Kluyveromyces lactis: one gene and its partner. The protein of the gene in region 2 purifies or fractionates together with the protein of the main gene of each other region. This does not show direct contact. Links are inferred from orthologs where the notes say so. Each region holds a gene or a part of one and is shown on either strand. Other genes may lie near its edges. The genes, in order: MET30 and CDC34.

Region 1 (4,167 bases), on a different chromosome or scaffold from region 2:
ACAGAGGAACATTAATACCTTGCATGAAAACGTCTGCTCATGGTGACAACCCTTTTTTTCTTATTATTTCCTTTCCTTTTCTTTTCAAGGATTCCCAGTCACATTTCTCTACTACGATATTTTCTAAGCTGTTTGGTGAGAATCTGGAAACCAAAAGACGGTCATGTTGACAATGAAAAATGGAAGATGTGTTAGTTTGGCTTTCGAAGAAGAAAACGGTGCGCTGTTACGTTTCAACGAGGCTCATCATCTTAATCATTATGGTGCGATCTTATAATTAGATTCCGCGCATATACGACGGTCGAATTAAATGACGAATTCCACAACTTCGCATGCTCGACATTTGACTTTTTAACGTTGATGGTTTCGGGGTTAATGAAGCCAGGTAGGTACATTGATTTTAAACATTGTTCCGAGCACGATAAAACTTTCAGAAACTGATCGTTGAGTAATGTATTCGTTCGAAAAAGAATGGCATTATGTGGCCTCTGTATTTAGGCAGCAGTTGAGACTAGAAATAAGTTACAATATAAACTTTTGTATTTAGTTATGCTAGTTTTGAAGATGTTGAACACAATTGTTCCTTCACTTCTGTACCATTAGCTATAGTGTAATCGGTGCAACAATGCCAATGGTTCTACGACAGGGCTCTCAAATATCATCAAAATGCCACATTTTCACTTCGCCCAGCTCGTCTCCGCTAACAAATGAACTGTCACCAATTCCTACACATACAATAGGAGCCTTGTGTCCTGTAAAAGTTTGTATGCATTTACCATTTTGAAGATCCCAAACTTTGATGCTCTTATCGTGAGAGCCACTGACAATTCTGAAGTTATCAGCAGCGATATCCCAAACACCTTCAACATGTCCAAATTGAGTTCTAATGCATCTACCTGAACTGACTTCCCAGAGTTTGATGGTGTTATCCAATGAACATGAAAGCAAATGTGTAGGGTATTTCAAATTCGGATCGAATATTCCTGTACAGTCATCTGCAAAATCTTCTTCTAACTCTGGGTTGGGTACTTTTTCAATTTTTTCATCCACCACTAAATTTTCTGTGTCTTTGATCGTTAATGGAATAACTTTTTGCACTTGACCAACATGTCCTCTGAAAACTTTAATACACGAATTAGTACGGATATCCCACATTCTTAATGTTTTGTCGTCACTGGAACTGTAACAAGTGAAACTTTTTGGATGTAGTTTAACACAGTTGACCCATTCCGTATGGCCCCGCAACGTATAACAAGTCCTAGATTCAACATGCCACACTTTAACTGTTTTATCAGCAGAAGCACTCACAATGATTTTTTTGTATGAATCCACCGATAGCACAGAATCCTGGTGGCCTCTATAAGTTGATATACAGGACCCTGTAATGTAGTTCCATACTCTGATTGTCTTGTCTAAAGAAGCTGTGATCATTTTCTGATCATCAAAATAAATACCCTTCACACCATCCGTGTGCCCGGTGAGTCTTCTAATCAAATTACCAGATTTTGTGTCCCATATAGCCACCGTTGAATCGTATGACCCAGTGAAAAGCAGTCTGTGGTTGAACTTTAATGACAATACCCCATCCATATGGCCTTTGAAGAGCTGAATTCTACATCTTCCATTTCTCCAATTGGATTCCACTTGGAACCGTTCCCTATATATTACTTTCCAGGGTCTCGTATAGTACCTGCTATTCCTAGCCCTAGCGGCAACAGTTTGGTTGGGAGAGTTGCCAGGATTGATTAGTGACTTTCCGCCTCCAATTTCATTCCCGTTGCCGTTTGCAACATTTTGGAATTGATTGCCGTTTTGATTATGGACATGTGCTTCATTTACAGGTAAGTATCTTGCCCTCTTCATATGGAGTAAGGGTAGACCCCATCCACAGTTTGGACATTTTCTATCAATATGCTGTTCGCACATATGGTACCATACCCTATCGTCATCAGCTAGTGTTTTCCACCTCTTACATGTTAGCGAGGCGATGCAAAGAGACTGACAGTCAAGGTAACCTAAAATTTTCAAAGAAAGTTCCTCTGGTAAGGTTGAAATGAAATCGATCTTAATCAATTGTTTTACCTCATCAGCAATATAAGATAGCTGGGGAAAACAACAAAGCTGTAATATTCCTTCCAGCATTAATCTTCGTATCTTATCATTGCTATGCTGGAAATTGTCTAGCGTTTGTTTGATAATTGCTCGGTCTGATTCCTTGTCCAAAGCTTTCATTTTCTCCATCCACTTCTCCGACCGTACCTGATCTTGGAAAACCATCGAATCCTTACAAGTGTGTTGAATATCTGGATTATGACGGTAGCAGAATTTAAAGAAATTGAACTGAGGCATTTCACTCGGAAGCTGTATTTCCTCATTGTTTTGATTGACCTTGGAAGCTTTGTTTCGTAGAATTTCCCCCTTCCCATCAGTATCCTGTCGTTGATCTGACACTCCATTCGAATCTACATCTTCGAACTTACGCTTTAAATCCGGTCTGCATGTCTGTTGAAGGTTAAACTCCATTTTGAAATACGATCGTAACTCGTATGGTATATTTGAATATATTGATGAGATAAAATGATGGGGTATATTGACTCAAAACAACTTCCCTAGCGTTCTCTTTCCAAAATGTTTATTCTGTTCCTCAAACTTTTGTAAATATACCAGAACCAGTGATCAAAGTGATGCAGTACTGCAAAACCCTTCGTTTATGTCTCTTATCCACAAGGATATAATTCCTTTCCTTGATTCACAGGAAAATTCTATAAGAACACCACCAATGATGAGCACTAGTACCTTTCTTTACCGAAACTTGTTGTTCTTCCCTATCTGAGCTCTCTCCGCTGCTGATCTTTCGTTTGTTCTGAAAATTTCCAAACCGCTTAATACAACAAATATGATGCTTTATATAAATCAAACAAACTATTGGTAGATCGGGAAGTGAGACGCCCCTTTAAGGATTAAGAAGTCTTACTTTGGCAGTGTTTTTCCTTTTGAAGAAGTCCTTTGTCAGTCAAGAGTTTTGTTTAAGTTTCGATATTTTTACTTTTTTTCTCTGCGCTAAATTTCAGTACTAGCTAAAATCCGTTCTTACTATCTTTATGGGAAAAAAAGATATGTTTGTACTGCTAGGGTAGGTAAGCCACACTTTACAGGTTATCTGGCTTATTACAAGGATATTCCATGTTTTGATCTGACTAAAAGCCAAGAATATAACATGGCACATTTTCCCTTGAAAATCAGTCATTATATATGTATAGTGTAACCTGCTACTGTGCATTCGGTCATTATGCGCTTTTCTGTGTTCATCTCTGGTTCTTTCCAGCGGTGTCTCTGGTGAGGTAAGCTATCTGGATTTTTCTCGTTCATTCACGTGATCAAAATTGCCACAACGACAGAGACAGAATCGAAGACAATCAGTAAGAACGGACACTGGTTCGATCATGCAGGGCTGAAAGGCAGGAGTCAAATACCTACTATGCTGACTTCAAATATTGTCTACAACATGCAATATATTGCTATTGTCACAATTTTTGCTGTATCAATTTATCTATATTAACTTACATTATACACAAGGATACAATAAGGTGCCCATGCATAAGATTTTATATATATAATTATGGTGAGGAAAAGTGCTAATCATTTTAGACACGACAGTTAGAAATTTCGAATACCATGATATCTTCTGCACCGTTTTTTTTCAAGTCATCCATAATATCACCTTTGTTTTTCCTTTCGATCATGGATGAAACCGCTACCCATCCACTGTCGTTGATTTGAGAGATGGTTGGTGCTCTCCTTCCTGGAGTAATTTTTAAAAGTTCAGGTAATTTGTTCTCAGGAGCGTTATAACTACAACTGACGTACTTTTGAGCAGTCATGACACCTTCTATTCTTGATTTTATAGTTCTGAGAAGTTCAACATCTCCCTTTGGATTTTTGGATTCGATTAGATGTGCACTTGTATCCAATACAGTTGCAATAGCGGTCAACCCAGCAGCGCGCATGGTTTCTCCAGATTCGACTAAATCTACGATAGCGTCAGCAACACCTAAAGCACAAGATGCTTCCACGGATCCACCAACGTATTTGACCCTAGTGACCATTTCGGATTCAGGCACACCTTCCAATTGTGCGAAGTATTTTTTAGTCAAATTCACAAAACTG
Region 2 (2,977 bases):
TCCAAGGAACTTTCTAAAGTTCGAATTCATACCATTTGAAAATCTTTCAGGCATTTCCTCCTTTGTCTTTCTTACAACCCCCTTATATCTCATATCCTGATGGAGGTCCAAAACCAGAAAAAACATTCCATAGATATTGCACACAGCACCGGCTAGGGTTACTGTCATCGAAAAGTGTTATTAAGTTATTAGTTACTTGATGCATCGTTAGTTGTTCACTTTCCAATATAATATCTGAGGGGCTGAAATGTAGATTCAGCGTTATGGTGAATTGAAAAAGGACAGTTTCCAGTTTTATGTTTGGTTATGACAATCATCATTTAGAGGTGCGAATGCTCCAAACAAAATCAATAAAGACGTTGAAGTTGTTACAGGTTCATGAATTTATACTGGAGGTCAAAATAGTATATCACTACAGTAGTAACCAAACTTCAACGTGTGTTTATAATTGTATATTGAAGTAGAAAGACAAGACAGTAGTGAGGAAAGAAATGTGAATGAATGTGATACGCTGAGAAGCACTGCTTCTGAGGGAATAAAAAAGTTGTAAGGGATTCATATCATTTCATTTCTGCATCTTCTAACTCCTCGCTTTCTTCCATTAATTTACTTCTTCTATCCATTACGCTTTCATCTAGAGAATCTTCTGCTTCTTCAGGCACCAGATCTTCATCTTCATCTGAGTCGATATCGTTTTTGTTAGCTTTTTTGCTGAAATTCAAGTTTGAAGAATCTTTGCTGAAAACATCGTCATTATCCTCTTCATCTTCTGAATCCTCGTATGCATAGATATCCACATCTTCATCACCTTCGTCACTGTCGTACCAGAAATTATCGGCAACGGTTTCTTTGATGGTGTCAATACCTTCATTTGCCTTTCTTTGGGAAACATACGCCTTTGTTGATTCTGGCATCACGAACCCTTGCGGGATATCCTGTTTTGATCTTTCCACTTCGAGTTTTACCTTTTGTTTGTACTGATCCGGATTCTTCTTGTAGTCAACAGCAGCGTCGACGTTAGCTGGAGAGGAAATATTTGGATCTTCTAACAAGGAGACAATAGAAATCAACACTGATTCCACAGTCTGTACTGGAGACCAAGTTTCTTCATCGGGCTCATCCGAGGTGGGGTTCCCCGATTGGTGTAAGATAGAAATACACAACCTACCATCACGGTAAACGTTCGGGTGGTAAATTGCTGGAGTAAATCTAAAAGTTGGAGGAGAAAATGGGAAATCGTCCGGGAATTTCATTTGAGCCTTGAAATAACCTCCGTGGTAGATGGATTCCTCATTTAAGACCATTACACCGATGTTCCACAAGAATATGTTTGAATCATCTTCTAATGCAATATGGAAACTAGGAATAGCCTTCTTCGGATCAGTGAGTTCCCTGTATTGTCGTAATAACAAAGAAGCTGCAGTATTCTTGCCGCTCATACTTTAGAAAGAGTATTTCTATGGTAAAAAGATGTTCTGTGTGCTGATTGAAACTTCCCCCTTTTTCCAAAACTGATATATCCAGACCAAGAAAGTTCAGTTATTAGGGCTGACGATTAGAAGTAACTGTTGCTTGGTGTTCCTCAGTGATAAGATATCTCCGAGTAAATTTGACAATAATATGTTGCTAGAACTTAACAAAAACGTTAGGAAGAGAAAGAAAAAAGTAATGAAACGTAAAGCCAAACAAAAGATAGGACAATACAATATACCAACTGAGTAGTGTGAGTTTTTGCGTTTGTACAAGTATACCCGCCCAAAAGTCTATGCAACCTCTCCTTATCACCTGTTTATTGATACTCTCATTTAAATGCAAATACAATAATTTGTAATTAAAATTAATAGTTGTCTGTGTTTTGACCTTTTAAATTTCTTCTGAAACTGGTTTACAAAAAAGAACCAAGCTGAATGCCGAAAAGTCAAGAAAAACCGTCCCAAGACAAAATAAGCAAAAACCGTTGGGTTGTGTACTCTTGGAAGATACCGTTCTATTGTTCAGGTTGGGGGTTTAATCGATATTTATACTATAGCTATATGTCTCTATATTTTTTACCGTCTTGTAAGCTTTTCGTCCCCAGGCATTATTCATGTTGATTTGCACAACCAGGTATGCGTTAATAATCCATGGATGAAAGTAACAGTATTTAAGGCATCAACATTTACGCATGAATGTTTATTTTCCAATTGATGGGGAATGCGGGGGCCAATTACATCAATTTTTTCGAATGTATCTAATGCATCCGGCAAAATATCACTTCTACCGCATCGTTGTGAGAGCGTGCATTTTAACTGATAAGCTGAACACTAGGATTAAATGTGAATCGGAGAACTCTGGTAGTCAGTTGTTACGTTCAAGATTCTTATTTATACTCTAGACTAGTTCTTCATCGGGCAGTAGTATATTCTGCTCGGCGTCAGCAAACGTTAGACTCGCCGCTTTCACCGATAGGAACAGTGGAAAAGTTCACGTGACCTTAGGTCACGTGAACACCAATCACCATCTCCTTCTTTTCTCATTCTCGTAAGGTTTTCCGAACTGAGCCATAGGGCAATAACGCTCATCAAGTCTGAATCGTACCATTTTGAACTATACAGCACTTCACCATAGCTCAACAGGCCTAATTCCCTTACATATTCACCTCAAGGTGGATGTTTTGCTGAGATCCTGCCGTCCTCACATTCGGAACGTTATAAGATTTGTATCTCGCGACGGCGTGTTGGAGTTGCAACTCGATGCTATATGTTTTCTCGTCTGCGCGCTTTTCTTTGTGTGCCGAAATTTGTTTTCGTCCAAAGTACTTTCTTTGACTTATTTTCCTTTAAATCAGAAGATTATTTCTTGTTTTTCTGTCTATTTACTATTTCAGATCCAGTATAAAATATAGGACAAATGCCTATAGTGATGAAGATAAATACAGGGCTTGGTATAAGAAATCTGCCGTTATTTTTCTTTCTCTGCGTTGGCCAACTTATCAAAT

What was found.
Region 1: the proteins of CDC34 (region 2) and MET30 purify together in Saccharomyces cerevisiae (affinity purification with mass spectrometry; 3 studies listed by BioGRID, with this or other methods). This does not show direct contact. The link is inferred for Kluyveromyces lactis from reciprocal best matches to the Saccharomyces cerevisiae genes CDC34 and MET30.

What each region holds. Positions count from the first base shown.
Region 1 is NC_006042.1:2,544,889-2,549,055, reverse strand, and holds MET30 (ubiquitin-binding SDF ubiquitin ligase complex subunit MET30), read right to left. Parts: upstream 2,524-4,167; coding exon 652-2,523; downstream 1-651. Other genes in the region: HIS1 (ATP phosphoribosyltransferase), read right to left, coding at 3,645-4,167. UniProt on the Saccharomyces cerevisiae protein: Substrate-recognition component of the SCF(Met30) complex, an E3 ubiquitin ligase complex that mediates the ubiquitination and subsequent proteasomal degradation of target proteins. Negatively regulates sulfur amino acids biosynthesis genes expression.
Region 2 is NC_006040.1:771,257-774,233, reverse strand, and holds CDC34 (SCF E2 ubiquitin-protein ligase catalytic subunit CDC34), read right to left. Parts: upstream 1,440-2,977; coding exon 561-1,439; downstream 1-560. UniProt on the Saccharomyces cerevisiae protein: Catalyzes the covalent attachment of ubiquitin to other proteins. Capable, in vitro, to ubiquitinate histone H2A. Mediates the initiation of DNA replication (transition of G1 to S phase in cell cycle).